Linked DNA regions of Neodiprion lecontei. The protein of the gene in region 1 binds, or shares a complex with, the protein of each later gene. Links are inferred from orthologs where the notes say so. Each region holds a gene or a part of one and is shown in the gene's direction. Other genes may lie near its edges.

Region 1 (8,925 bases):
ATGAAACTATTCGGAACTGATTAATGATACTCTACAGAAATGCTTTGTAGAAGGCAACTTGTTCCGGGCGAAGGGAGGTTATGATGTTGAAAGGAGATAATTATTGTGATTAACAATAGAACGACAGCGAGATGCTGGTGAATTTAATTACATACGTTTAGAGCGGTCCAGTTGCTCAATACCCGTTCAGAAATCGTGAGAAAAAAATCCTTCGTGCTCGCCATGTCTCTCGATACAGGCATGCAGCATTGAGGTTATACAGTACCAAGTCGTAACGTAGTCGTAACGATGAAAAGACTTTTTATCGACGGAGGAAAACAGTGCAACAGCACAGGCGAAGAGGTGCAAAATTTTTTATCAGTTTTCGGCTGTAAGATTCGATGCGTTAATCACACCTAATGTAGACATATATACGCAATCCTTTTCCTTTGTAAAATGACCTCGATATTATAGAGGTCTCGAATGAATCGATTCCGTCATTTTTCATACTCCGTCAAAGACAATTACGTCGATATAGTGCAGCCAAGAATTTATTCCAGCACTTTTCAAAATCGCGAAATTTTTCACCAAAAATACAAAGGGGTTAGCCTTACTTATTTTTGGGCCGAAAAATTTTTGGTCTTTGATTCGATTTGCATGACCTATTCTCGACTGATTAGACTCCCAGGAACTCAGAAAACGCAGCTAAAAGAGCGTGGGATCAACGGGAGACGAATGACGATGGAAAAAGCATCAGTCGAAAAATGTGAAAAACTCAGGTTCTGGTTTTCTGCCTGTAACTTTTGATCCGTTTCTCGCAGCGTATTGGGACTGCGCCCAATCGATTTCTCTCGCAAAACTACGTCAGAAAAGTGCACGAAAGAATTTATTCCAGCACTTTTCAAAATCGCGAAAATTTTCACCAAAAATACAAAGGGGTTAGCCTTACTTATTTTTGGGCCGAAAAATTTTTGGTCTCAGATTCGATTTGCATGATCTTTTTTTGATTAATTAGACTCCCAGGAACTCAGAAAACGCAGCGAAAACAGCGTAGGATCAACGGGAGAGAGATGACGACGAAAAGATCACCAGCTGAAAAATGTGAAAAACTCAGGTTCTGGTTTTCTGCCTGTAACTTCTGATCCGTTGCTCGCAGCGTATTGGGACTGCACCCAATCGATTTCTCTCGCAAAACTACGTCAGAAAAGTGCACGAAAGAATTTATTCCAGCACTTTTCAAAATCGCGAAAATTTTCACCAAAAATACAAAGAGGTTAGCCTTACTTATTTTTGGGCCGAAAAATTTTTGGTCTCAGATTCGATTTGCATGATCTTTTTTTGATTAATTAGACTCCCAGGAACTTAGAAAACGCAGCGAAAACAGCGTAGGACCAACAGCAGACGAATGACGATGGAAAAAGCAGCAGTTGAAAAATGTGAAAAACTCAGGTTCTGGTTTTCTGCCTGTAACTTTTAATCCGTTGCTCGCAGCGTATTGGGACTGCGCCCAATCGATTTCTCCCGCAAAATTACGTCGAAAATATGCACGGAAGAATTTATTCCAGCTCTTTTCGAAATCGCGAAATTTTTCACCAAAAATACAAAGGGGTTAGCCTTACTTATTTTTGGGCCGAAAAATTTTTGGTCTTTGATTCGATTTGCATGACCTATTCTCGACTGATTAGACTCCCAGGAACTCAGAAAACGCAGCTAAAAGAGCGTGGGATCAACGGGAGACGAATGACGATGGAAAAAGCATCAGTCGAAAAATGTGAAAAACTCAGGTTCTGGTTTTCTGCCTGTAACTTTTGATCCGTTTCTCGCAGCGTATTGGGACTGCGCCCAATCGATTTCTCTCGCAAAACTACGTCAGAAAAGTGCACGAAAGAATTTATTCCAGCACTTTTCAAAATCGCGAAAATTTTCACCAAAAATACAAAGGGGTTAGCCTTACTTATTTTTGGGCCGAAAAATTTTTGGTCTCAGATTCGATTTGCATGATCTTTTTTTGATTAATTAGACTCCCAGGAACTCAGAAAACGCAGCGAAAACAGCGTAGGATCAACGGGAGAGAGATGACGACGAAAAGATCACCAGCTGAAAAATGTGAAAAACTCAGGTTCTGGTTTTCTGCCTGTAACTTCTGATCCGTTGCTCGCAGCGTATTGGGACTGCACCCAATCGATTTCTCTCGCAAAACTACGTCAGAAAAGTGCACGAAAGAATTTATTCCAGCACTTTTCAAAATCGCGAAAATTTTCACCAAAAATACAAAGAGGTTAGCCTTACTTATTTTTGGGCCGAAAAATTTTTGGTCTCAGATTCGATTTGCATGATCTTTTTTTGATTAATTAGACTCCCAGGAACTTAGAAAACGCAGCGAAAACAGCGTAGGACCAACAGCAGACGAATGACGATGGAAAAAGCAGCAGTTGAAAAATGTGAAAAACTCAGGTTCTGGTTTTCTGCCTGTAACTTTTAATCCGTTGCTCGCAGCGTATTGGGACTGCGCCCAATCGATTTCTCCCGCAAAATTACGTCGAAAATATGCACGGAAGAATTTATTCCAGCTCTTTTCGAAATCGCGAAATTTTTCACCAAAAATACAAAGGGGTTAGCCTTACTTATTTTTGGGCCGAAAAATTTTTGGTCTTTGATTCGATTTGCATGACCTATTCTCGACTGATTAGACTCCCAGGAACTCAGAAAACGCAGCTAAAAGAGCGTGGGATCAACGGGAGACGAATGACGATGGAAAAAGCATCAGTCGAAAAATGTGAAAAACTCAGGTTCTGGTTTTCTGCCTGTAACTTTTGATCCGTTTCTCGCAGCGTATTGGGACTGCGCCCAATCGATTTCTCTCGCAAAACTACGTCAGAAAAGTGCACGAAAGAATTTATTCCAGCACTTTTCAAAATCGCGAAAATTTTCACCAAAAATACAAAGGGGTTAGGCTTACTTATTTTTGGGCCGAAAAATTTTTGGTCTCAGATTCGATTTGCATGACCTTTTCTTGACTAATTGGACTCCCAGAAACTTAGAAAACGCAGCGAAAACAGCGTAGGATCAACGGGAGAGAGATGACGACGAAAAGATCACCAGCTGAAAAATGTGAAAAACTCAGGTTCTGGTTTTCTGCCTGTAACTTCTGATCCGTTGCTCGCAGCGTATTGGGACTGCGCCCAATCGATTTCTCTCGCAAAACTACGTCAGAAAAGTGCACGAAAGAGTTTATTCCAGCACTTTTCAAAATCGCGAAAATTTTCACCAAAAATACAAAGGGGTTAGCCTTACTTATTTTTGGGCCGAAAAATTTTTGGTCTCAGATTCGATTTGCATGACCTTTTCTTGACTAATTGGACTCCCAGAAACTTAGAAAACGCAGCGAAAACAGCGTAGGACCAACAGCAGACGAATGACGACGAAAAGATCACCAGCTGAAAAATGTGAAAAACTCAGGTTCTGGTTTTCTGCCTGTAACTTCTGATCCGTTGCTCGCAGCGTGTTGGGACTGCGCGCCGTCGGTTCCTCCTCTGAAATTATGTGTCCGTAGTGCACCGAAGAATTTATTCAAGTATATTCTTGAATTGGGCATATTTCAGTGGAAAAATCCAATAGGATTTGAAGAGCGATTTGTGACTTGATACCTACCATATGCTTGATACTAGTAGTGTAGCGCACAAGCAGAGTGTTGTCGATAGCGCCTCCTACAGCGAAAAGCCTGCGAAAATGGTCGCTGTCTTAACCGCCTGTCGCAGCACTCTAGCGTAGGTTTAAGCCGTAATCTTGAACTATTAGGTCCCATGGTTGTTCAGAAAACAAGCGGTGTTCGTTTTTTGGTTATATTTTCTGTCTGTTTTGATTGGCTTTCGTCAGATACATTTTTCAATTTTGTTTCTTAATTTCTCAACGTTATTCACATGATCATCAGCAAATGTATCAAAAAATATTGTTTGTGTTAAACTAATACAACCGACACTTGTATAGCGATTATCGTGACCGACTGCTTTTGTCGCCAGTGACTGTTTCAATAGCTATGGTAATTATTGATCTACAATAAGTCGTCAACTACCTTGTGGACCAAAATCTCATCGCATCGTTTTATGTAGCATGTACCACGTCATTATTACTGTCACTTCAGTCTTAATTCACCATTCTTTTCTCATGTTTGGCAGGACGTGCAACGACACTCGGTACATACCCTGGTGTTTCGTTCTCTTAAGAGAACACATGATATGTTTTTGTCAAATCAAGGAACCCTTCCTCCGGTTGATCCTTCAACGTAAGTACCATACTCATAATGTAGCCCCAATTGTGAACTCATTAAACACATATACATAATGCAACACATTCTGATGTGCAAAAACCGTCTTAATAATAAACGTCTCTTTTTGTTAACAGGGAATTGCTGAAAAAAGCCATCAAATCTAAAGACTCTTACTCGCCAGTCTTAGATCGAGTTAGAAGAAACAATCACCTAAAATCTAATCATGATCACAATTCGGACCCTCCCCCACCTGGTGGTAAGTTAGTCGTCACGGTCTTTGTTTAATTTAACTGAACAAAATAAATCGAAACTATCTGGCGAATTCATCATTCATACGATGTCGCTTTTATCTTGCCCAGATGATACCTTCAATGGAGGTAACAATTCATCTGCGATGGTACCTTACGGTGGTGGAATGGGCCACTCAGTCAGTTTGAGCTCATCAATGCCCACTAATACCAACAGCACTTCGTCAACTGTCATGAATCTCCCACCAAAAAAGACCCCAGCAATAGCAAAACCACGCTGGCATGCTCCTTGGAAATTGTATAGAGTAATAAGTGGCCATCTTGGTTGGGTACGGTGCTGTGCTATCGAACCTGGCAACGACTGGTTCGCTACAGGATCAGCTGACAGAGTTATCAAGGTACAAGGGCATCTATTCCTTAGTTGTTAATTTATAAGATTTTATTTAATTTCGTCCTGAGCATTTACATCATTTTTGTTAAAAATTTCTCACAAGATTTTTAACTACATTTTCAATGTCATTAAAACATCGACTAGTACAGCATTAATGAAAAATGCAACATTTTTACAGATTTGGGATCTTGCTAGCGGAAAGTTGAAAGTATCTTTAACCGGACATATCAGTAGCGTACGTGGTCTTGCCGTGTCTCATAGACACCCGTATCTATTCTCATGTGGCGAAGATCGTCAAGTCAAATGCTGGGATCTAGAATACAACAAGGTAAATATATAGTACAGCGCTGTAAGAACTTGGAATTATCAATAATACCTAAAAGTGTCAATACAGAAAAGTAAAAGAAAAAAGATAGACAAGTCTAAAAGTACCCAAAATATGAAAATGACATCGAAGCTAAAAATACTATGTGACCAATAAGATAAGAATATTAAACTGCATTTCCTAGGTTATAAGACACTACCATGGTCACTTGTCAGCAGTTTATTCCATGGCTCTGCATCCAAATATTGATGTACTAGTCACAGCAGGCAGAGATTCGACCGCTCGCGTTTGGGATATGCGAACGAAAGCGAACGTTCACACGCTGGCTGGGCATACAAATACAGTAGCTAGTGTGATATGTCAGGCAGCAGAACCTCAGGTGAACGAATGATGTCCACAGTAACCGATTTTATAAATGGGGCTTGCATCTAAATGTATTTGAATTTTTAAGGTCATAACTGGTAGCCACGACTGTACAATCAGACTGTGGGACTTAGCTGCCGGAAAATCTAGAGCAACTTTAACAAATCATAAAAAGAGCGTTCGATCTGTTGTGTTTCATCCGGCGTTGTGCGTATCTTAATTTTATCTAATCTTGCATCTCAATCTCGATTTATGTTGCCCAGTTTCCCGCATTTATTTGATCTTTTCGGATATTCTAGATACATGTTCGCGTCAGCCTCACCCGATAATATCAAACAATGGAAATGCCCAGAAGGAAAATTCATCCAAAACTTGTCTGGTCATAATGCAATTGTCAATTGCCTGGCCGTTAACGCGGATGGTGTACTTGTATCTGGTGCTGACAATGGTTCCATGCAGTTATGGGATTGGAGGACCGGGTGAGATTTCAAATCTTAGATATTCATCTGTTGAAACTTTGAATTTTTTTTTTTTTTCAAATAATCCTAATAATTATTCTGTATCCGGCACCTCGTTTTAGTTAGTAATATAATTTTTATGGTTAATCAATGGACTGAAATAATTGTAGCAAATGATTTATTTTTATAGCTACAACTTCCAGAGACTTCAAGCCCCAGTTCAACCTGGTTCAATGGATAGCGAAGCAGGCGTTTTTAGTATTACATTCGACATGTCGGGGACACGTATGATAACTACCGAAGCCGACAAGACGATAAAAGTCTACAAGGAAGACGACACAGCGGTGCGTTTAGTAATTTATATTAAGTGTCGCATGAACTTATTTACCATGATTGTTTCCTATTCATATTACTTTTATTTTCTGTTGTAACAACAAATCGTAAACTTAAACATAATTTAATGCAACGACCAAATGGTATCACAGTAATCTATGTCTGGAATTTCTGTTTCGTTTCACCATTGATTATTTATTGTAATCGTTAATAATCACTTCCGTGATTAATTAAATGTGCGAATGATTTTTTACAGTCCGAAGAAAGTCATCCGATTAATTGGAGGCCTGACATCATTAAGCGAAGAAAATATTAGTGAATGTATAAACATTAAACAAGGTTGTGTTTATACAATAACAATTTAATGATAAGTTGTATTGTGAGACGATTTACGAATTGATTGTAAATAAAGCTTCCATTTCCACAAATGCTGATTACGATTAGTTATAATGTTTTAAAGTTCCTCGTCCAAGTTGAAATCTTCCTCCGGATAGTCTCCCACCTTGATATGTGCAGGCTTCAAAAAACCACCGTAATTCGGCAGGCAATCGAAATACCTTTTTCCTTGGACGCTAGAAATACAAATAATCTTGAATGAATATTAACTATTTAGAAAACAACATTAAAATGACCAACTACCAAAGTGACTTACGATCCATCATTTTTTCCCAATGGCTCATCATATTTGACACCAATCCACCAACCAGACTTGAATTCGGTTTTACCTGCAAAGAATTATTCAAAAATTATCAACCCAGTGCAAATGAACATAAAAGATACAATGGAGGCAAAATATTGTGCAATTGGGCAATCGTTGCTCATCATTACTTACCAACATACATGACCGTTCCTCTACGTCTCGGTTGATTTGGTACTTGAGTTTCGCAACGATCGCCGACCTTGCAAGCTCTGGCAGCGGCTTCATCTGCCTCCTCTTCTCGACGTTTCTCTTCTTCCCTTCTCTTAGTTTCTTCCTCATTATATTTACCCAACTTGTTTCTCTCTAGGAATGCTTTCACTGTGTCTGAAAAAAAAATTTCTGCTGTCATTATGATTATTTATTGAAGCATGAAATTCAAAAATTATTCTTTAATGCCCAAGTAATGATTAGTGGAAAAGTAGCATTTGGCCAGTTTTTACTGTTGGAAGCCTGAGTTTTTATACATGCATCAGATGTATGAATTACCGGATCGTTTGGCATACTCCGATTCAGACAGTTCGAATTTATCCACCTGTGCAGTTTCATCGTCAGGTCGAATGCAGTTATCTATCACCTGTTCAGAGCGAGAAAATATTTTGACAACGATTCGATATAAAGAAATAATAAATCAATAAATAGAAGCAGATGGACAAGTTTTTTCTCTTTTACTTTATCTCAGATTTTTATCAGCCAATGAAATATTCGGTAGAGAATTTGATAAAGAAAAAACAAGCCGACTGTTTTACATGACAGAAAAAAGAATTCTACATGAAGTTTTTATCTTACATGAACTCTCATTCCATCATCGATCGGATAAGATCCCAACAAGCGGTCACCCTGATCAGGTTTGCAGATCAGTTTGTCATTTTTATCGTACACCTCTAATTTCATGGTGGCTGAATTACCTCCTGTAAGGAGTTCGAGTTTACCCTGAAACAAGAGTCAGTTGTCAATAACATTCTGGCAGCTAAATATGAGTTAAAAAAGAGACATTGGATTATGATTACTCTTTTACTGTTATTTGCCTAACTTTGCTCAACTATTTTAAGAAAATTTCAACATCGGTCTACCGGTTACAAACCTTAAAATCATCGAGAGTGATTCCCTTTTGAAATCTCCTTTCGACACAGCAAGTTTGTTGCCCCGAATTGGTGATGTTTAGGTTAACGAAGTCTGAGGTTACCACGCTGTATTCTGTCATTTTGAACAACCCCTATTCGCTTGATAAGAAATAGATTTGTTCAACTGTACGGTTTGGAAAAATCCTCGAATTTTCGATATTCACCAGTCAATCTAGACAGTAAAACTAATATACGCAGTAGATGAAACCAAAGAATATCATCAAACTGTACCACAACTGTACCAATCGTGACAATGTAACATAGCCTCTACATTTGACAGTTAGGCGTCGGCTGAATAAATGAGGGAAACGCCTGCACTACTGCAACATTCACTATTAGCCGTATGTTGAGTAGGCTGCAATGAGGCGACCAAACCCACAATCTTCCGTACTTGATGACCCAAAAGATTGAACTAATTTTGGAAACATATTTGTGTTTTCCCGTAATTTTGTACTGTTTCCTGTATTCTCACGAAGCAAGTACATCAGTTATGAAAACACAAGACATAAGTGAGAAAGTACGAAATACATTGTATTTCCGCAGCAGGACCTTAAATAAAATAATTTAATATCCGTAAATGAATATTTCCAATTTATGTATTTATGTATGAACATTCAGTTGGAATCTGTATAGTCGGAAAAAAGAAAACTCTTTGTAATTATGTACATGCATATGTATAATTCTGATATAATTGTCTTCTTTTTCTCATCGCCGCTCTTCCCTTTGCCGAATCTTTCACT
Region 2 (7,303 bases), on another chromosome or scaffold:
GCAACAAATATATGCTTATCGTAGATTATCTATCGTCCTCTGTGTCTTTTGATACGTCAATGTTTGAGTATATTTTCTTACGCATTTGCAATTTTAGTACACCACTTCATTAGCGTTGCCATAAGCACGGTCTTACATACAGGTCTTGAAACTCATCAAAAGTTGCGTGGTGGGGGAAATACGCTTACGGTGCATTTTTTGTTTTTCGACGCTGCCGCCAGTTCGCACCACTGATATATATATACACGCGTGGTGCCGTCACGCCAATTGAACGGTATCCATTTTGTACAGATTCTTGTCACTTCAGATATATATATATATATATATGTATACGTGATATAGGTATATCTTCAGTCAACGAACTCTGATTCGAATTTGATTCAAATGTAAAATAAATAATTGACGTGCTCCAACACATGTGGAAAACAATATTATTTGTAAACTTAGCATTGAAATCACGTAAACTACAATGCCGTATTCGTTTTTTACGAGATGCGTTGATAATTGTAGAACGTCAATTATTTTCTGGTCATTGCAATCAAATTTGAATTGGAGTTTCAGCTTTTTCCAAAGATTCGACTCGCGGCCACCAGCGGAGTGCTGCGGGCAGCTAAGCATATTTCTTTCAACGAACACCCTAATGCACATGTGTGATAGTCACGTGACTTTCAGCAAGATTGGTAGAGGCATTCTGCGCATGTGTGACTTTTACGGTTTTATACGTATTGCGACAGTATAACTCCACTACTGACATACATGATATAGCGATATCTGGCCAGACCCCACCAGATTATAGTTTGCCTGTAATAATTTCTCCACCCTTGCGGCGTTTAATTTCATGTTTAAGAAGATAATCAATCTACGAAAAAGTATCTGTCAAACATGCCTGTGAGTCTATCCTTTTCAATTTACTCAAATTAGTAATACAAGACTTATTTCTGTCTTGAAATTGTCGATTTGGTTTTCCGCATTCAGGAGCTGTCAAATGGGTGTATCCCTTTGATATCATGAATCATAACACGGGGTCACAATTTAACAGTGTCGTTGACCTTGATCCAATCGACCTACTAACGAGATGTTGATAGTCAAAGATCACTTCAGATTTACTCTTGAAGTAAATCACGGACTATAATTTTACCTAACCTAATTTAACTGTCAACATGCTATTACCGTGTCAATAAATTCTGACGTGTTTTGCTTTTCTACTATTGATAGACTTTCTCACTTTCACATTATCATACCAATTTTGCATAAAATTTCAGGCATATCATTCAAGTTTTTTAGAAAATAACCAAACGGTTGGCAACATGGCATTGCTACCGTTCAAAACCCAGTTTCGAGGACCAGCACCGTCATTCAGTAACAAAGAATTAGATATAATAGACGAAGCTTTGTATTTCTTTAAAGCAAATGTTTTCTTTCGAACCTACGAAATTAAGGTAATTTTTTAATTTGTATAGTTACATTAAGTAATGTATGTACTGTACACTTATATTACTACCACTTCTTCGCCCTTAAATATTCTACAGAGCGAAGCTGACCGAGTCTTAATTTACATCACTTTGTACATCACTGAATGCTTGAAGAAATTACAGAAATGTGCAAACAAAAATCAGGCAACCAATGAGATGTACACCTTGGCTATTTCCAAATTTGATATTCCAGGAGAAGCCGGTTTCCCATTAAACTCTGTTTATGCTAAGCCAAATACTGCGTCTGATGCTGGTAAGACCATTGAATAACAAAATCAAACACATTTTCCTAATTTTTTCACAAATTGCTACCATTACTTCAAGTGTAACACAAATATGAATTATATTCTAAATGTTGTAATGGTTTTTTTCAGATTTAATGAGGCAATATTTACAACAGTTGCGCCAGGAAACTGGCATTAGAGTCGTAGAAAAGGTTTATGGAGAAGATGGAAAGCCCAGCAAATGGTGGCTGTGTTTCGCCAAGAAGAAGTTTATGGACAAGTCATTATCCGGACCTGGCCAATAAATTGTAAATTATCTTCTCTTACAATTCAATCCAATCGCTGTAAGATAGGTTCATTTTATGGCTCTTGTCTTTTTCTGAAGAGTGAGCTACATGTTAATTATTAATTGTTTTTCACACTTCTATTAACATCAATCAACAATTTTTAGAATTTTCCTGCAATGTTGAGTTCAATATGTTTAATTTATTAAGAAAAAAAAATATCCGGCTGATAGTTGTAATCAATTTTAAACTACTAAATGTTCCCTGTTACGAATTAGATAGGATTTCATTGGAAAAATATTGTGTGTAGGTAATTACAAATCCTGCAAACACAATATGTTTAATTAAATAAGGAAAGAAAAAAATATCCGGCTGATAGTTGTGGTCAATTTTAAATTGCTAAATGTTCCCTGTTAAAAATTAGATAGGATTTCGTTGGAAAAATATTGTATGTAGGTAATCACAAATCGGGCAAAACACACTTCAATTGTATTGTTTAATTTATTACAGATAAAAAAAATATCTAGCCGAGAATTCTAGTGGATTTTAAAGTGTAAATGTCCCTTGTTGTAAATTAGATAGGATTTTGTTGGAAAAATGTTATAGGTATGTAGATAATTACAAATCAGGCAAACAAATGGTACGCACGCATGTGATGAACCAACGGCAAAGGTAAAACAATTTGTGAAACGTATAAATATACCTACGCATATTCATCCCACGTAATATAATTTTCAATAAAAACTTTATTTTATATTGCGGATATAAAAATCGGATTTAAAAAATTCAGCCATAGCTTCATTTCCCGAAATTTCTCCGAAATTATTTTCGGCTAACATGCATTTCACGATTAGAGCATAAGTGTACGCAATACATCATCTTCAGTTAACGTGCGACGTGCTCCAAGAATTAATTTAAATCACTAACGCCTAAGGGCTCAGTCTCACAAGCCGCGACGCGGCATGCATTCGTTCTTGGCGCAGCGGAATTCGCGCTTCCAAAAACCTGCAATCTTATTGGTTGCTGGATCTGTGTTGCCGCACCGTGCTCTGTGAGACTGAGCCTTAAGCGAGGTCTTTGTATACAGGGTATACAAGTCTGAAATTGGTATTTAAATACCTAAATATCTACGCGGTAGAAGAAGCCCTGATTTTAAAGCTAGTTTATAGCCGCTGAAATCGCTGACATCGACTGATGTCAACGGGGATGTATGTAAAAAGGCTGTGTTCGTAAATTGACTGACAGTACTGAAAATTCCCTAGGACAGAGTCAGAGCTATCCACGAACTTGGTAGCGCAAAAGAGATAAAAGATTGCTGACAGTACTGTCAGTCAATTTTCGAACACGGCCAAAATAGATGTGTGTCCAAACCGCTCTTGGTGCTGTTTTCGCCACAAAATGGCTGAGCTTGGCCAATCGGATGCTGATGAACTTGCTCAAGACTTGGCACAAGATGGTGGCAAAGTTGATTGCAATTGATTGGACTAACAACTTTTGGGAACTTTGGTGACACGGAGGGTTAGACAGAGATGGACAAGAACGAATTCTTTGCCAGAGATCAAGCTATCATAGGGTTTTCGAAAAAATGCAGCTACGTACACATAAAACCTACTCATATATATTCATGCCTAATCCTATATGCTCTAAAGTCCGAAAGTGTTGACCTTGTGCGACTGCAGCGCTATCTACCAGCGAAAGAAACGAGGTCCGTTTGATCAACGAAACATTTCATTTCTTTGTAATCCTCCATATACAACGGTTCCGATGCCACTTGAGTGGGATTACTCTTACACCCGTATTCATATTCCTTCCTTGAGGAACAAGGATTCCTTCACGGAGTAGTAGGAAGGAGACAACACTCTGCGATAAAACTTGTCCCCAGTTTTAAGGTACCGTAAGTGGAATTGTCTAAATGCGATTTGAGCGCCTCTTACGGAAAAAAGTGAAATTTCCGCTATAAAATGTAAAAAAAAAGGGCGGCAATCATAACCTATAAGCCTCCGTTTTATAAACACACTCCGTAAATTAGTAAAATACGCATCTGAAGTGTATCCACGTAGAGAAATTAAAAAACGGGGACAAAACGCGTACAATTTTTTAGTATACGAGCAGTGGTGAGTGTCAGGGGGCTGAATACGGGTATTGGAGCATGTATAGTATATTATATGCTCTAAAGTAAGCCGTGATGCCGACCCATGATGCCGACGATAAGCCAAGTGGCCAAAATTCGAACTAAGTAACTCTCCGGCCATTTTCGTAAACGAAACGAAAGTGGCTGGCGTCCGTCGACAAACGTTGATGCAACGACACAGACTTCACACGGGTATAAATCCGTTTCAATCGCCAGTTTTTTCGTGAGCTAGTGAGATTTTAGTGTCGATTATCGGAACATAAGTGTCAAAATGTCGATCGGGGTGCCAATTAAAGTACTTCACGAAGCCGAAGGTCACACTATAACCTGTGAAACTAACACCGGCGAGGTTTACCGCGGAAAGTTAATAGAAGCCGAAGACAACATGAACTGTCAAATGCAAAACCTGACCGTCACTTATCGCGATGGACGCGTAGGCCAGCTAGAGAACGTTTACATTAGGGGCTCAAAAATAAGGTTCCTTATATTACCGGATATGTTGAAAAATGCCCCGATGTTCAAAAGACCCGGTGGCAAAGGCGCCGGCACTGCGGGCAGAGGAAAGTCTGCAATACTACGGGCACAGGGTTTGTTTTTTCACACCAATACAAATAGATCTAGAATCTTTCAGTTTTTCATCAAAATCGAAGTCCGTAAACATGTTTTGGCCTACTGAACATTTTATTTCAGCAATGTGGAATGCAATCCGATTCGAATTCATATTTCTGTTTGACTGGCAATGTTTCAGAGACTCATTTTTCTAACAAGTTTTGCACTTTTATGCATCAATATTCTTTTTCCAACGCAAATTATCACCGAATATATCTATTTTTAGCACGGGGCAGGGGACGAGGTCAAAACCAGAGAGGCAGAGGCACGGGTTCGGCCCCTTGGTTGAATCAGCAAAACCAACCAGGAGGTTCACAACCTGGAAGAGGAAGAGGATAAATGTTATAAGGATCATTTTTGTTTATCATTATATCTAGTGCACTAAAGTTTATTTAGTTCATACTTTTATAAGGGATGTAAAAAATAATTCCATGTAAACGTAAATTGAAACCGTACATGCCTGTGACAATATGTGTAGGCAGTGATCACTAATGATAATAACAATGTAAATTAATAAGTATTCAAAAATTTAATGTCATTGTGTTTACTCCCTTAGGACTTTGAACAAGAAAACAGACCTGGTGGAGAATACAACTGTCTTGCTGTATTGTGGTTTTCATTCATATTCCATTGTAACATCCCGTCTAATTGTAAGTCTCAACCAGAGGTACATGGGCAAATGCGAGCATTATTATGAATTTTCTTCTACATTAATTATCTTAAGACCTGAATGAAATACTAAGATAAGAGGAAAGATTGTTGAAAGAATCTTTAACTATGTTATTTGCGACAACGATTGTCAACACAAAAGAGAATATCTACTACGTTATAAAAATGCATCTGAGAGGTCTGAATAACACAAGCTATGATATCAAGAAAGGTTTGATTATTGTGAATTGATATTTCATTCCCTACAGAGATAGAAAAAATTCGTCTAAAGTAGTTTCAAAAACAATTTACATCTAGAGTGCATATAAATAGATTTTTGTCAGAAAAGTGCAGCAGATATTCAACAATTACATTTGTGCATTATAACTATTATAGTGTAAGAATTTTCGAATGTTTATTATAAGTTGTATGAATCTAAAGTTCCTAATTACGTACTAATTAGACACTTCATTAAGAAATTGAATGCTCATGATATTTTTAATTCAAGCGGGAACCTCCAAAACAAAAAATCCGCGAAGGACGATAGATTTCGAAAAACTGATACACTGGAATCAAACGATAATTAGAGGCTAAAATTGAGTGCAAGGTTGTGTACATGTACCTATGTATCTTTCTGTTTCAACTTGTGAATCGTAGTGTCTTGCAGAAATCTGGCAGCGCTGCCGATTTAAAAAATCTTATTATATACAGGAATAAGATGCAAGTAGATGCTCTCAAAATTGTACTTATTCGAATTAAGTGCCAGGTTGTACCTGGGGATTTAAGTTTCTTGAAAATCACCGACTCATGTGAACGTTACATAAAACAAATTGATTTTAGAAAAAAGCTCACGTATTCTGTTGCGAAAAATATCCTGAAAAGTCTAGGTATTTGTCAAGTATGACTATCGCAGATCATTTGTTACATTGCTATTATATGTTTTCATTTGAAATTTATATGGATTATACAAATGCAACAAATAATCGGCCTATTTTTTTGGCGGTTCCAGTTTGATAAAGTTAAGCTTAATCAACGTCTTTTGACATTTTCTAACAGTGAGATCCGTTCCAATGGCCCAGTAAATATATTGTTTCGTTGGTATTCACTATCATTGGCGCAAATAACATTGCCAGGGATTTCGTAACTGTTGTTTACTCTTTTCATAACTTGCGATTCAAACCGACTTGCAGAACGGTAAAATTTTCCGTCCTAGGGTGGTTGGTAAAATCGGCAAATCAAAGTTCCAAGTTCTAACAAAGTTGCACAGAGAGCGCTGAAACCCTCTTTCGAGCTGAACGACTTCCCCTTCCACTTTGGATTTGTGGGACAGTAGAGTGGATTTCGCAGCTCATGAAACATCAGAGTGCTAGCGAAACTAGCGAGCTGTTAGCTATTTATCGAACGAAATGTTGTCAGTAGAAGACGCGATAGATTTCATACGCTTAGATATGTAAGAAAATGTCAAATGAATAGGTGAAAATTGTCCAGAGAGAGAGAGAGAGAGAGAGCGACAGAGATTGTGAGAATAGCGATTTATCTGGTTGAAAACCCTAAACGGGATCGACGGCAGTCGAGCGGTGAAGAATAAGAAAAAAAAAAACGTACGACGTGGTAAAATGGTGCACATAAATAATTCCGGCAAAAACAAAGAGGTAAGCGTTGTCGAATATATTTCACTTCATTTTATCACTGCTCTTTGATCTGCGCAAGAATATCGTATCAAAATTCGCTACTCAAGTCTGAGTCAGGATTATTCTGATCGTTCCATGTTATTCAAATACGGAACGAACCGCAATTCACGGAATATGATGTGAAATAATTTCTTACCGGTTGTCAGCCGGGCATTGAGACTACTTATTACCCTTCACGAAAAATATTATTGATTTATTCGGTTCGATTAACTCAGCACTAATGATTGTGTAAATCGCATTTGAA
Region 3 (6,813 bases), on another chromosome or scaffold:
GTCTAGACGAATCCAATCATGTTTGTTACATAGAATATAAGTGAAAGTAAATATTTTATAATCGATCTTCATCCATTGAACAAAGAACGCATAGTTCATATTTCACAAAGGCTTGTTAAAAAATTTTTTGCATATTTGATATACTAAATTGCAGTTATCAAATCGTCGCACTGTCATGGCATTAATATTTTTTCACAGAATCAATGAAGGTCTCATGTCATTATTATCTATAATAAAAGCAATTAGTTAGGCTTCCAATTAAGCTATGAATAGCTTCGCAATGTAGGGTGCATATGTAATCGGTAATCGTTATATGTACGTCTATGCGATATTGTATAATCTATTTTTATAATGTCTCGTGCAATACCTAGGGTCCCTTTAAATAGTTGTGATGTTTATCAATCCTTAAACGCTGCCTTCTTATTGTATGTATATCGGTGCTAGTGAGCTGTGCAATTTTATGGATATCTACAGATATATTAATATTGTACTCAACATAAATCAGTAGACCTTTATATTAAAAAATGACTCACAGCAAATTTACACAATTTATGATAACAATAATAACAACTTGAGTAACTAAAGTCGGATTGTTATTTTTTTTAAAATATATTTATTAATTTTATGATAACTTAATTTACTATATATAAATATACAATATCTTCCTCTGTGCATCAGTAATAATAAAGTAATTGTCAGTTAGTAAGTTCCGTGCTTAAAAACCAAATATCAAAATAATACCTAAATCTTTAGTCATACGTCTGTCGCTTCTCTCTTTCCAGGACCAGTCGGATTCGTACCAGTTATTTTATTCTTTGGCAGTTTGCCTGGCCTCAAATAAGGATTGTCTATCACATCTTGTTGGGCTAATGCCTCTCCACTTTGCTCTGTCCCATCTGCTTGTGCTTGGGCTGAAAATTGAAACATCATCAGTACAAGATTCACCATTTTTCTGACTCATTGTCTCTATAGATTATGAACAAACCTTCTTCTTTGTCTTCTACAGGCGGTGCCTTCTTCTTTTTTTGAACCGGACTCGGTTCAAACTGGAACTCTTGATCAGGCTCAAAAACTTGATCCTGTGGTAGAAGTGCTGACAAATAGCTGGGAAATTGTGGCTTGCATGCTATCACTTGAGAGAAGTTGAGAAAATCCATTAATAAATAAAACAATAATTTTAGAATATAAGATATTACTTTTGAAAATTTCCAAACTCAATTAATTCTACCACTTACAGGGAAACATGGTGTTGTCTTCGGTCAAGAACAGACTATGCGTGTCCCCTGTTTTGGCAATAAATCTTGTCAAGGCTCGTTCAATGTCCCGTTTTTGCGATGCAGCCTTTTCCCTGATAGCTTCATATTCCGTCACAGGTTGTTTATGTGTCTGAACACCATTTGTCGATAGTTACACTAATGTGCTACCAAAATGATGAGTAGTTGATGGAAGTTATGACTCACCGGCGTCCTGATGTAGGCGTGAGGATCAGGAAATGGTGGCAGATGATTAGGTATGTGCGACGGATGATTTTGCTTTACTCCAGCTTGTAAAATATTGAGCTGTTTGGCCTGTATCTGTTGTTGAAGTTGGGGCAGAACAGTCCTGTTTAGACGTTTACCATACGTCTCCATCCCTTCTAATTTGATTCCCATGTTAATTAGGGCCAGAATAACATCGGCTATCAGAGGCTCGGTCCGCCCAGACAGCTCGCAGTAATTTTTCGCCGAATCTCCGACCTCGACGATAACTACAATGTTCATAATTACGGGTAAGCATTCTTTTTTAGTTTATAGGGTAAACTCGTTTAACAGCGTTCAAGAAGTCTTAAATTCACTTACAAGCCTGCAACATTTCGGTGAGGGTTTCCAGCGCCTGTCTTTCACACGTTTCGAAACCATTTTCGACCAAAATACTGCAAACTACATGATTTAACACTTTTCTTCTCGTGTTTACTGTTTGGGTCTCCATTTTTAATACAACTGGCTATTACTGTTTGGTCTTGTTTCCATCGAAGGGTTGGAGTCGGGTTAGGTTCAAATTATGAGCCAATGAGAAACGAGGTTTCAGGAGAAATTACTTTCTTCCTCTCAAATCTCGTTTCTCGTTTGGCTGTAATTTTAACCTAACCTGACTCTGACCTTACCACAAATGGTATTACATGCTTCGTGGACCTTACGATGGAAGCATCCTATAGTGTAAGAAAATAAAGCGTGTTCCACCGGTGGACGCTATTTCGTCCCGTTCTGCGCCGACCATAGAAGCCTTCTTGAAATTATATGACGTATCTTATAAGTACAGTGGAGATTCCTACTTGTTAAATTGTACGCTATATAGATGGTATTGAATGGGATCAATTGAAAATCCAAGATGGCCTTCATACGGTTGGTTCTTAATACGACTTGTTCGTGGAGATGGCTGCGCAGTAACACACCTTAGATGTTCAAATTTGTAAAAGCGTCTCACGTCGCTTTACGTTGTTCGTAATCTCATCGTTGGACAGTGTGAGCATCAAACTGCCCCGATTTTTCAATTAAAATTCAACACATCTATTAAAAATGAGCAAAGCACATCCCCCAGAATTGAAAAAGTAAGTGATAAACTTGCGTGTCAAACCGACGCCGAATAACCGCAGTTCTTTGCCAAGAATTTTTAGGTTACGTTGCTAAATTTAAGGTTAGACTTCACCTACCGGTACATTTATTGCCCATATATACTAATTTTTCATTATATTTTTCAGATACATGGACAAAAAGTTATCCCGTAAGTTCAGAGGATTAAATTAGTATCAAATAATATTGACTTGGTTTGGGATATTCATTTATTTTTTCAACGTTCATTGAACCTAGCTTTGGAAGGTTATAAATATTTGATATTGCCAAATATCATGTTGCGCACGAAACCCTCTTCTAGAAAATTGAGAGGAATGGTATTTGATGTATTTTATTAACGATACTTTCAATTGGCAGTAAAACTGAATGGCGGGAGACACGTGATTGGCATCCTGCGAGGATTTGATCCGTTCATGAACATGGTCATTGACGAAACAGTCGAAGAATGCAAAGACGGAACGAAGAATAACATTGGAATGGTGGTAAGAATTTAAAAAATCTAAAGCAATTGCTTGAGGAAAGATGCAAATCATTTTTTATATCCGCACGAAGTATTGACGACAATATCATTTTTGTTATTTCAGGTCATTCGAGGAAACAGTGTCATAATGCTAGAGGCGTTGGATAGAATATAATTATTAAAAAGAATCGGATGGAAGAATGTATTTAAGAGAAAAAGAAAGAATAAAAACATTTTGTATTTGTAACGCCGTATTTAACATTTAATTTTTCACTTATTTTACAGTGTACACATAGTTGTAAATGATTGAATGATAAGTTAGGAGTGACAATAATTTTGGAGAAAAATCATGAAGACTAAAAGAATTCAAACGTTTATGTTCAAATACAAGTATAAAATAAAACAAAAAAAACAGGATTCCAAGCAGCACAATTTTCTCACATTTCTTAGCTCGGAACAACGAGAAAGTGAACATTCAATACAGCTAAGCTGATTATTAAATATATTGTGCACAAAATATAATCTGGAAAAAAATGGTGCAATGGCATATAATTAATTATGGTAGGCATTTCGCTGTTACATGTATAACTGGATTTTATAAAAATACGAAAATATCGTACAAGGGGTTAGTTTGCCAATTTGAGATTCGTACTGCACAGTACAGAGACATACTGGATTAAATCAATTATTCTTATAATGAGTTATTCAGGTGAAGTGAATAAAAAAAAAATTATACAAATTCTATTTTAAAAATGTCAAAATACATTTGCTATGTTCATAAAATCAATCTTTTTACTGATGTTTTTATTAGACTGAATAATTCCGATTTAATGAAACCGTTTTGGAACTAAAATTTTAATAATACTATCTGCGATGAGCTGAGGATTTTTGCTGTCGTAAGTGCTCATCAGTCTTCGAAGCAGGAACAAAGGTCTGACTTACAAGAATAATAATAGGTATAATCATAAAAATAAATGCGTGCATACTTTATACATTGTATATAAAATAAAGAAGCAAATATAGCTTCCTTTGTCAGAAATACCATAAAATCTTACCCTCACATAGTTTTTAATTAAAATTTGACAATAGTGTGCAGAATACTCGGTAAATACCTTAATTTTTTTTCCTCTTATCTTAAAATTTTACATTTGCAATTATATGAATTCGTTTGAGGATATCCTTGTTTAAGATAATATAGAATCATTCTACACACACCTTATTACTTTCGTAATGTGCGGTAAGCAGTCAAAAAAAAAAAGAAAGGGGAGTACAAAGAAAAGTTTCAATGCAATGCAGAAAATTATATTAGCTAAAGTAATAACTTAGTGTATAATGGCCTACTTATTAGCAACGAAATATAACGAGAGAACTACAGAAAACATACAAATCAATAATGATTTTTTTTCATAAGAATCCAGTGTACCCCTCATCCTTCTGAATTCAGCAAATGTGGTTATCAAGTGTTCTTTTGTTTGAAAATTGTCGGTTACACTTACGGCACTTAATTAATTCAACACAATTATTGTGCATGTGCAATCTGTACTCGCGATTAGTGTGAAATTTCTTGCCGCATCTAACGCACGTTATGAAATTTTGCGGACTCAGATTCATGTGAATACGGAGTTTTCCATCATTTTTAAATACTTTCAGGCAGATCTCACACTGGAATGGTCTCAGCGGTCCAGTTGTTGAATTTTTCAGGCAAGCTGCAGGAGGGCAAATTATCGTTAGATCATTGCTGTTCAAATTCACTCAACTGCTTTTTTCTATAATCAAACAAAGGTACGATTTTTTGAGTTTTTTTTTAAATTTTCTTTTTAAATTTTCTTCTATACATTTAAACTCTGTATTCTACACAATTCACTCGTTATGATACTTACACGACTGTTTGCAGGAACTTTTGCCACAGCTATTGCCATGTTTATCATAATCAGTCTGGCTGTGAAACAAGCTCTTGCATGCGAGGCATTCCACAGTTTCTTTGGGTTCATTAGCTACATGATCATCAAGCAGTGTGGAGCTATCGAAATTTTCTTTGCAAATGGTACATTGAAAATTAGAGTTCGATCTCCTAGTGCTCCTCCTGACAACGATAGGCTTAGTTTCAGTTTCCTTCAAATTGCATACATTCTGGTTTCCCTCTGCATTGTGCACACCGTTTCCTTTAGACTTCGTATGGGCAGGTTTATTTGCAATCTGTTTTTTCCTCTTGTTTGAATCTGAACCATTACGACTACTCTGAAACTTCGTAGTTTCATTCACAGCTGCTGCCTCCTCTATGAGCTCCTCTTTAATTCTCATCAGGATTCCATTTGCCATTGACTCACAATCTGACACCTCAATTTCGGACGATTCATTTCCATTCACTGCCTGTTCCTGTCCTTGCAGAATTTCATGCAATGCTTCTTTTTCCGTCATCTGATGACACGACACCAAGTGTGCCTGAAGATCTGCCTTTACAAGATGAATATGGCAGTATGGGCAGTCCGTAGAGTTGTGTCGCTTTCGTTGATGCGTTTTAAGGTCAGTGCTCGATCTGTAAGACAGATCACACTCTGTACAGTGGAAGGGTCTTTCACCGGTGTGGGACCGAATGTGAATCTCAAGTGCCGATTTGCATATAGATATCTGTCCACAAATCTCGCATCTGCATTCGCCATCATTGTGCTCATTGAGCATATGTTTTTTCATATCGTATCTATTGCTAAATGGTTTTTCACACGTTTTGCAAGTGAATAACATTTCTCCCGTGTGCCCAGCTACGTGCATTTTGAAATACCAATCTGTGCTGAAACCCTTGAAACAATAAGGACATTTGAAAACCTTTGAATTTTTCTCCTCAGATTTCCTACGAGCTTGAGATTTCCTTCTTGTGTTCGTCGCACTTTTTGCTGTCTGTGAATTCTGCTGCTCTACATTCTCTGTTTCATTATTTTGTGCAACAGACCTTGGCGGGCTAGGAGCTATCGGAGCTGGCTGAATGGCCTGCAGTTTTGAGACAGGTACAGGTTTGGGAAGATTGTCCGGTACCAAGCAAAACGCAGGAATACCGTGAGTTTGATGCCGAAGCGAAGGGGCTGACTTCAGGCTGGTGATAGGGACGACTCTGATGGGGGTCAGGTAAGGTTTGAGAGCTGTATTTTGGCTCGAGGTTACGATATTTGCCTGAGAAGCGAACCAATCATTGAGAGACATCGGCTGAACGATGTTGGATTGCGTGACCGAGGAAACTTTAATGTACTGTTGACCAAGCCTTGCGTGTTGAGGTGGAGTGCAAAACACATTTGTTATCTTGGGTTGCTTCACGGCGGGTCCTTCGTTGGTCTCAGAACCCGGTCTTTTGCCGACGATTGTATTCTGTGGTGGGAAAACAATCGGAATAGAGGGCAAAAGTTTTCCAAAGACTTCTCGGGAGTTAGTACTTTGTACAACGCTCGGCTGGTTGCCCGGGGACAGTGTTTTTATTGTGACAATTGGCTGATGCTGGGGAATGGTTTTTGGGATGATGATCAGCTCCTTGTTATTCCTCAGGGACTCCATAGTCTTTTTGTACTCAGTGGCCGGGTCCAAGTGTTCTTTTTTCTTGGTCTTGGCTGCCTCGATCATCTGCAGTTCTCGCTCCCTCATTTTTTCCCTAAGTATCTGAGCACCGTCTGTTTGATTGTGCCTATAGACCTCCTTCCTGATGCAGCTTTTGTGACTCATCCTAGACCTCCGTGTCTTGAATACAACGCCGCAAATGTC
Region 4 (8,512 bases), on another chromosome or scaffold:
TTTCCAACTGTCCACTATTTGAAAATTTTCAGTTGTACGATGACAAAAGTATTCGAAACTTACATTTGTAATTTAGTTACTAATGTCAAAGCGGCAATAGAAAAAGTTTTTAAGCGTTTCAAATGTTGGCCAAATTCAATTTGGCAACTTTTTAACTTGAGCTGGTGATTAATTTTATTGAAAAATTAACGGCTCGTTGATTTGAAATAATTTTATGGTGAACTATTCAACCGAAAAGCAAATGTCCCGATCGGTGCGTAATAAGATGATTTGAATATGTACACTATTTCTGTTGCATTTTTTTCTCGATTAGCAAATATGTTATATTTAATTCTGTCGACAAAATTCTTGAGACTCAACTTTAGTACAAATAGGATTAATTACTGAGCACATACTTTGCGCAATTTAATGGAAACTAATTAATTTCGAATTAGCTTCTTAATATAGTTACAATCTAATAGTTAAAAAAAAAAAAAAAAAAAACTCGTTTATTAAAAAATTATAGTTTCGGTTACACGGTTGTGCAGAACATAAATAAATTTTTCTCTTACAAGTAGTGAAAATGTGTTTCCATTTTGTGCAAGTTTAGTAGCCAAGTTTTATACAAAATGAACCAGAAATTTTTGTCATCGGATAATTAATTTCCTACGATGCGGCGTCACGCATAATTTTTGAAGAACACTTTCTTTTGTTCCTCGTGTTTACGGTATTCTTGGAGTGTAGGGACAATTTTTTTGCCATTTACGACACATTGATTCAAGGTGGGCTGGATTAGTTAATATTTTTCACAATATTCAGTACACAATATATTACAACTTATACGATGCTTTTATAGATTGTGTATATTTTATCCCAAGGCGTAAAGATAGTGAAAGAAAATTTGGAATCGGTAATTGGGTCTTACTTGAGAAAAATTACGCATGTTCTTGAATGAATATAAAAATGAACAATGAAAATGAATCTATCACGAGGTTCGTTGCAAATTAACCGGAACGAAGAATAGAATACTTGTGGATTCATTTAAAATTTTAATAAACTGTTCAAATCAGCTTTCAGTAATACGACTTTTTAAAAACGTGACGAAAAACAGCTGATAAGAATTTATTTTACTTTCTGTATAATATTGACGTAATTATCACACCATATTTTTCTTCTCAATTGTTAAAATCCTAAATAACGATTATTGTCAATTCGTAGTTTTCCAAGGCGCTAGAAAATATGGGAAAAAATCTCCTTCTCACAGGGAAAATTTTGAAATGTTCAAAATTACATAAATGACATAATTGAAAAATCAACGGTTGCTTCTCTATAATAAGTTGAAGCGAGGATAGTTAGACGTTGCACTGTTGCACATTTATTTAATTTCAGTTGATAATATCGAAGAGGTTGTTCAAAAAAAGATACGTGATTTGTAGTCACCTAAAATAAAAAGAGTACCGAAAACGATAATCGAAGGTAGTATAGCAAGAAGATAACCCGAGAATTTCCTTGCGCGTATCTATAATTTAACATGCAGATCACTTTGTCACAAACCATAGTCATCCTTATCGTAAGAAAATTTTTTTTTCATTTAATATTTAGTGTCACAAGTGCGCGTCGTAGATTTTTATTATCGTCAAGTGAAAAACGTGTCGGCGCAAAAAGTAGAAACACGAAGCTTTAGAATTTGATACACGTGACAAAAAAAAAGTTGATGATCGATTGCAAAATCTTCGGAAAGTTTGGAGTCTCGTGTGCAAAATAATTCAATAATTGATGAAATTTAAAACTTTGAAAAATATCGAAAAACTTGACTACCAGGAGTTTAGATGTGCATATATGTATATGATTTTAGTAATGGGTGAAGCAAGGTGGAAAACTATAGCCCAAAATTTGCAAAGAAATTAAAATTATTTAATTCACTTAACAGCAACATTCGTCAAATCCCAGAATCAACTTTGTTCGAATAACAATTTCATACTCAACGGTGATCGATATCAATTTAAACTAGTTTTGCCATTTCATACGAATTCTTTAGTCATGAATTTATTCATTTTTATATTTATTTATTCATAAATTTATAAATTTTGCAGGATAAAAGTCGTTTTTACGTAGATCAGTACAAATTGGCGTTGATAGGTAATTAGCCAGTGCTTACTTGAATTTAGAATTGAAGTATCAACTCTGAATTGTTTTTTATCACTTATTGTACTCCAAGAAATTGATGTCGGAATTATTTTTAATTTTCAGAATTATTTTTTACTTTTTTATTCGAAAAATTTTATTGGTAATCTGTTTAAATTCCCTTGATTCGAAACATTGAATAAAGTAGCAGTTGTTTATTTTGAAAATTAGAAAAACTTAACTGAGAATTAATTCTTCCCCTTCGACGAGCAAATTCGTATCATTATACAATTACGTTCAATATTTAAATTAAAAAACTCAAATCAGGAATTTTTCGGAAAATTTTTATTCTATCACCGCAATTAAAAATTAACGCTGTTAATCGTAATTTTTAGTTTGAAACTGAAGAATAGCCCGACACTGTTACTTTGTATTACGTAATTGTGTAAAAAATGTGCAGGCAGCGGGTTGCAAGACGATGCGTTCGCCGGGTGCCAAATACCTTATTTGAAACCATCCGTATACAATTGATAACGATTTGATTACAAATAATCCGGAAAATCCATCTCGGGACACTCGGCCGAAATTCCGAGAGGGGACGCTGTAACGAATAGCGAATAAGATATTCCAGGCTTTTTGTTTCTTTTGTCTTTCGGTTCCGAGCAATTATTGCTGGTAGCGTTGAAGCGTCCAGGTTTCGAATTGAGAGTTGCGCGCTTGAGGTTTGTAAAACATGTTCATCCTTTGGTTAACTTCTTCGGCTATTTCTCCTATCGTTTGCATCAACGAAAGATTTCCAACTCTGTTAACAGTAAACCAAGTGTATGTTTATTGTGCATCTATTTAGATAACACAATTTTTGTCGATCCGATGGAGTTACATTAGCATTGCTGAATTTGGTTCGGAGTGATCTTGCATAGTTGAAACGTATACGGCGTCGTCACGGGGTTGTATGAAAATTTCAGTCTGTTCCGGTTCGTCTTTTCCATAGGCATAATAATATTCATTCGACTCTGAAAAATCTGGATATACGCGGTAAACGATGGTAACGTCAGTTCTCGTCGTCTTTACGTACCGACCATTTGTCGGATTGGGTTGCGTGTGCAAGAAAGGCCGCAGAGAGCGCCACGTGACGATCAATTTATCACGTACACATTTCATTACGAAAAGTCTCATAAGGCTTTCAGTCTTTACGTGTCCCTCAGTCAACGTCTGTTGACGAACAGAGTTGCATCGGTTCGTGCTGTACAACTTGGGGAAGAAGTCACCAGAAGTCAAGGATACTTTGAACAAGGTAAGTTGTAAACATATTAGGAATAATTATTACCGTGCCTCAATTTTTCTTTCTGGTGCAAGTGAATCGTACACCAAAGACAAACTTTCTCGCGAGCAACAGTTTATTGTCATTTTTCCTTTTATTATTTGTACCGTAATTTGAATTATTCTACTCCAATCGTCCGGTCTAGGGACTATTCTTGGCCGGCCGGTGGCATCCCTGCTATTTACGAGACAATCCGACAAATGGCGGAAACGACGGATCTTGGTCGGTGTTTGACAATTTGAAACGTCGTACTTTTTGCTCGGATTTTTAGCGTCGCGAATGAATCGAAATATCAGAAATTCAGTAGCGATCTTAACATTAATCGCAGATGCCTACATTTAGTGAAACCCACTAGCCATATTTTGTAAGTATTTTACTTTTGATAATCCACTGGGTTATAAAATTTTTCGGATGCTTTCGCCTTCAGTCAACTCGTGTACATAACCTCAAACAACAAATGTTGGTGTGTGTTGAGTGGGAAAATTATTAGTGGCAATCAAGGAGACTTGATTGAATTGACGTCACTTATTGCATCCTCCCTACACGCAATTTGGCGTATTTCCAGAGCTGCGAGATTATTTTTAACATTCCGAATAATCTTAACGCCAGAATAAAATTCAATACGGCAACCCAGCGCATACTATCGGATGCCTTAACCTCTAAAATTATTTGTTCGATTCCATGTCTATGGTTTAATTCAACAGGAAAATCTGGATAATGGGGCGAACGAAAAGGGAACGCAAGGCTAGCAGTTCAGAGAACGAGTCTGATAGTTCCAAGGACGAAGGTTCGTCGAATTCAAGTGATGCCAAAGAACAAGCACCGCCTTCGCCGAAGCAGCGCAAGAGGCAGATGGAGAAAGAAGAACGTGTAAGGCCAAAGGAAATGCGCCAGGACAGAAACGTAGAAAGATCAAGATGGGAAAGCCCGGACGGAAGGAAGCGGAAGCACAGTCCTCAGTCTCAGAACCAACGGTACCCGGCGTCACGCGACGACAGAAGAAAGGGTCACAGAGAGCGCCAGGACGGCGGAGAGGCCAGAACCAAGTGGGAGAAAAAGGAGAGAGATAGAGATATAGACAGAGATTTGGAAAAGCGAAGGAAGGAGGATAACCGCAGCCAAAATGAATCTGACAACCAGCGGAGGCGGGAACGAGATGCTCCGGAAAGGTCGAACAGAAACTACAACGGTGAAAATCGACCCGTCGATAGGTTTGACGGCAGAAGGCAGAACGAAAGGAAGTCCCCTCGGCGAGACGAGAGGAACAGGGGGTTTGAAGAGCGAGAACGAGGTAGACATAACAGCGGTAGAGGTGGCAGGCGAGGGGGTAGAGGAAACAGATTCGGGGATGGCGATGGGCCGAGAAGCAGTTTCGACGGCTCCAGAGTAAAGGGTGAGCCGTCGCCGGAATGGGGAAAAGCGGATATGAAAAAGGAGAACAATGGGAAGCCAATTGAGAAGGAGAAGCCAAATTTCGAGCCTTCTGGAAAGTTGACGGAAGACGCAAATACTGTGAACGGTGTGGTGATAAAATACACAGAACCAATGGAGGCGCGAAAGCCGAAGCGCCGTTGGAGACTCTATCCCTTCAAGGGTGAGAAGGCGTTGCCCACCCTCTACGTCCATAGGCAGTCTGCTTACCTGATGGGCAGGGATCGCAAGGTTGCGGATATTCCTCTGGACCATCCGTCTTGCTCCAAACAGCATGCCGCTCTGCAGTTTAGGCTTGTCTCATTCCAGAGGGAAGATGGTGGCGAAGGAAAGAGGGTCAGACCGTATTTGATAGACCTAGAATCTGCCAACGGCACTCATGTTAATGACATCAAACTCGAGCCTAAAAGGTATCACGAGCTCTTGGAGAGGGATGTTCTGCGCTTTGGATTCAGCTCTCGGGAATACGTTCTTCTGCACGAACAGAGTAAGGATGATGCTCTGGATGATGACGTCCCATTTACATCTGCTGTTCCGGTGAGAAATTATTAATGACTTTTGTTCTTTCGTCTTTCTACTTGATGTCAAGTTTCCGTACAGTTGTAATTTACCTTTCATACTTTGACAGCGATAAAACGATATAATCTCAAAATTTTACGAAACAAGACATAAAACCAGGCAACTAATGAATAATAAATCTTGGATTTAAATTTCTCTTTGCTCCAAAACTGTCAAAGATTTGTCATCAGAAGGATACTTTTAACCGAGCAGTTTTTCTGTTATATTGCAATAATCCACAGCGCACTGTATATTTTGTTGTTGGCTCTACATATTTACCATAGAATTCAGTAAAATTCCCCAAAGAAATTTGCGGGCTCAAATTAGTTGATGAGAATGTAGTTTCCTTAATTTTATTTCATCATTTTTGTTTGCAGAAATGAGCTTAACGGGCTTACTGAGCATACGCGGTGCTCGAAGAGGTGGAATGTCAATGTAGAACGATGATATTGCAATTTTATGGAACGCAGGTGTATCGCTAGATTGCATCGGTAGTTTGTTGGCAACGAGCGCTGGAAGAGTGTTTTGAAGTTTTAGAAAGATTAAATGTAAATCAATAGATCTTGATGAAATATTTTATAGATATTTTAAGATCAAGGAATCGAGAAATTTGGATTGTTATTTCTTCAGAATTGTTTACTTTATTGTCAATCCTGATTCACAAACTTTGTAATGTTCTATCCGGTAAGACATGGCGTACAAAATTGAATCTGTACACTACCAATGTGAAAAATAAAACAATCGCATAAATTAAAAATATAAAATGTCATGAATCTGTGTTACCTCTTCATTTCACTGTCGGTTATTTTATTTATTTACATCGTTACTTCCTACGTTACGCATTAGGACGTAGACGGATAGTGGCCAAGTATCAGATACGTTGGGGTAATTTTGGTCACCATTTTCGGCCCACGAATCTTTGGATATTTATTACTTAAACAATATACGAGCAATTTTTCACTGACGCAAAGTAATATTTACAAAAGTAATTACATCATTCAATTATAATCGTTTATATTCCATGTAATGATTCCTTCTTTCATTTTTTATACAATATAATAAAATTAGTATCAAATGATCAAGGAACAATACAAATGTTACGTATGCAAAATGACATTTGAAATGGAAATGAAGAAAAATAACTACAATAAGACATGAAATGATTATTTTAAGCGAACTCGTTTTCAAGTTTATTCAAGTTGACTGGAAGATGCTTAATACTTGAGCATGTGTGTGAAAATGTGGTGTAAGTTGATGGATGAAAATCTAATGATGACATACTAGAAAAACATTTAAAAATATAATTATTTACAATTTGATTCACGCTAGCTTATATTTATTCATTTATCTTAATTATTATCGTTTAAAAGGCACTTTAAAAGTTAAATATATGAGCAGCACGTTGAAATAATTTAATTACAGCAATATCGGTACACGCCTTTAATATACGTTTTTAAAGCTTGATAAAATATCTCAACCTTCAACTTTGCGTATAATAATATTGTTGTCTATGATAAATTTAAACTTAACAATTTCGTATACATCGTCGCAATCGTTTGCCTTTGATTTCAACAACACGTACGTACGTCAATTCATAGTTCGGCATTTTAAAACAGGTTCCAATGTTTCTTACCGATTACTTATCATAATAGTAACGAAATTATGTACTACACAAATGATCAATCATGGCAGTCAAGGCTCTAAATATCTACACTATAATATCCAGTTTCTCAAATATCACCTTTCATCATTACCCATTTACTCTGACCGCGTCAGAGTTTATATTTGTATAGGTAGCGATCTCATTTCCATCTTCACCTGTATCTGGTGTTTGCCTGAGAGAATTCAGTAAGGCACTATTTATTGCTAAAGGTATATTCGCTTTCCCGTTTTGCAGAATCGAATGTGTCCTGCTTAATTTCGAAATTGTATTTCTTCCACCATTCGTATCGCTCGATAGAATGTTTTGCTTAGTTGCCCCATTCTTCTTCAATGGCAAAGTATTCTGAGAATTTAATAACGACGAGCTTGGCCTAGAAGGAGTCAAGCTTGTCGACGAGCCGTGGGAGCTGCTGCTTCTACCGCTCAAACTAGTCAGCGATCCTCTGATTTCTGTTGAGATTTTTTCGCTCTTGCGACTGTCGTCAATGGAACTCGGAGAGTTCGTCGCGGCTATACATTTGGAAACATGATTAGCCAACCTTGAGCTATCCAAAATGCAGAATTTTTCTCCTGTGCTGGAAATGGAGGCTCTTTTTGGTTCCGTCAAGTCAAAGTTATTCGCCGATTCTCTTTTTTGATTTACAACATCTTCCAATTGTTCACGATCCAAGTTTGAGCTTTCATTTTGCGAATCTGATAGTTCTGGTATTTTGCTTTCCTTTTGAACTTCATTTTTATCCAGGCACTGTACGGGTCTCGGTACTTCATAGCCACCAGTCGGAGTATCTCTAACATCAGGTACGTCGTTATCTGCTATTAATTCTAAATATTTCGGAATTTCTCCGGACGCTAAAAGTGCCGTCGTGTTGCAAGAATCGGGTAAAAATGGCTGCATGTCTCTACTGCCTTCGGAGCTTGTAGATTTCCAGGAGTTGCCTAAACAAATTTTAAACGACTGTCAACAATCTTGTATTAGCTCACAACGCCGGCGACCACTTCGGAGCTTGCAAAGTATATTCCAATTTCTTTGATGGTTAGTCGCTGTATTCCTTACGCGTTGGGGAGTGTTAAGGTTTGTTAACTTTGATGGATATTCTGTCGTAATGACAATAACGTAAATTTATGTGAAGACGCTCATAGCCGGTTAAATAAATGGGCTAAATGACATTAAACATGAAACCTACCTGAGTGGTTATGATTTTGATTCTCATCAGCAAAGTAAGCCATGTTAGACACGCCTGCAAGCACAAGCCATGCGATGGTCATTTCAAAATTTTTTCAAGCAATGTTAATCAAGAATAAACGGGAAATTTTCTCAAGTCAATAGAACAGTTTAATCCCCTTTTAAAATTGACATGAAACAGACGTTCCAATTTGGCGGAATTTTCAATTATAACCGAACGAAAAACTTTTGCTTCTTCGTCACAGAGTAAGATA

What was found.
Region 2: pleiotropic regulator 1 (region 1) and small nuclear ribonucleoprotein Sm D3 share a complex: the UniProt entries of both Homo sapiens proteins name them as parts of the minor spliceosome. The link is inferred for Neodiprion lecontei from reciprocal best matches to the Homo sapiens genes PLRG1 and SNRPD3.
Region 3: pleiotropic regulator 1 (region 1) and probable small nuclear ribonucleoprotein G share a complex: the UniProt entries of both Homo sapiens proteins name them as parts of the minor spliceosome. The link is inferred for Neodiprion lecontei from reciprocal best matches to the Homo sapiens genes PLRG1 and SNRPG.
Region 4: pleiotropic regulator 1 (region 1) and FHA domain-containing protein DDL share a complex: the UniProt entries of both Homo sapiens proteins name them as parts of the minor spliceosome. The link is inferred for Neodiprion lecontei from reciprocal best matches to the Homo sapiens genes PLRG1 and SNIP1.

The regions. Positions count from the first base shown.
Region 1 is NC_060264.1:30,350,691-30,359,615, forward strand, and holds pleiotropic regulator 1, read left to right. Parts: upstream 1-3,769; 5' UTR 3,770-4,015; coding exon 4,016-4,018; intron 4,019-4,154; coding exon 4,155-4,261; intron 4,262-4,380; coding exon 4,381-4,502; intron 4,503-4,605; coding exon 4,606-4,892; intron 4,893-5,063; coding exon 5,064-5,213; intron 5,214-5,394; coding exon 5,395-5,589; intron 5,590-5,661; coding exon 5,662-5,780; intron 5,781-5,872; coding exon 5,873-6,052; intron 6,053-6,221; coding exon 6,222-6,462; 3' UTR 6,463-6,620; coding exon of another isoform or gene 6,621-6,680; 3' UTR 6,681-6,792; downstream 6,793-8,925. Other genes in the region: uncharacterized protein LOC107221683, read right to left, coding at 156-242; tubulin-folding cofactor B, read right to left, coding at 6,819-6,936, 7,017-7,089, 7,197-7,388, 7,551-7,638, 7,851-7,994, 8,146-8,265. UniProt on the Homo sapiens protein: Involved in pre-mRNA splicing as component of the spliceosome. Component of the PRP19-CDC5L complex that forms an integral part of the spliceosome and is required for activating pre-mRNA splicing.
Region 2 is NC_060261.1:15,627,940-15,635,242, reverse strand, and holds small nuclear ribonucleoprotein Sm D3, read left to right. Parts: upstream 1-4,001; 5' UTR 4,002-4,382; coding exon 4,383-4,698; intron 4,699-4,946; coding exon 4,947-5,059; 3' UTR 5,060-5,061; exon of another isoform or gene 5,062-5,276; 3' UTR 5,277-5,327; downstream 5,328-7,303. Other genes in the region: actin-related protein 2/3 complex subunit 3, read left to right, coding at 883-888, 1,263-1,439, 1,530-1,725, 1,847-2,001; TLC domain-containing protein 3A, read left to right, coding at 6,985-7,020. UniProt on the Homo sapiens protein: Plays a role in pre-mRNA splicing as a core component of the spliceosomal U1, U2, U4 and U5 small nuclear ribonucleoproteins (snRNPs), the building blocks of the spliceosome.
Region 3 is NC_060262.1:2,038,939-2,045,751, reverse strand, and holds probable small nuclear ribonucleoprotein G, read left to right. Parts: upstream 1-2,354; 5' UTR 2,355-2,555; coding exon 2,556-2,587; intron 2,588-2,737; coding exon 2,738-2,760; intron 2,761-2,966; coding exon 2,967-3,091; intron 3,092-3,193; coding exon 3,194-3,244; 3' UTR 3,245-3,316; downstream 3,317-6,813. Other genes in the region: transcription initiation factor TFIID subunit 8, read right to left, coding at 754-911, 986-1,132, 1,236-1,386, 1,461-1,747, 1,839-1,968; zinc finger protein 60, read right to left, coding at 4,510-4,775, 4,950-6,813. UniProt on the Homo sapiens protein: Plays a role in pre-mRNA splicing as a core component of the spliceosomal U1, U2, U4 and U5 small nuclear ribonucleoproteins (snRNPs), the building blocks of the spliceosome.
Region 4 is NC_060266.1:20,091,682-20,100,193, reverse strand, and holds FHA domain-containing protein DDL, read left to right. Parts: upstream 1-3,312; 5' UTR 3,313-3,397; intron 3,398-3,624; exon of another isoform or gene 3,625-3,788; intron 3,789-4,128; 5' UTR 4,129-4,141; coding exon 4,142-5,392; intron 5,393-5,790; coding exon 5,791-5,796; 3' UTR 5,797-6,186; downstream 6,187-8,512. Other genes in the region: proto-oncogene tyrosine-protein kinase ROS, read right to left, coding at 7,164-8,011, 8,260-8,313. UniProt on the Homo sapiens protein: Required for pre-mRNA splicing as component of the spliceosome. As a component of the minor spliceosome, involved in the splicing of U12-type introns in pre-mRNAs. Down-regulates NF-kappa-B signaling by competing with RELA for CREBBP/EP300 binding.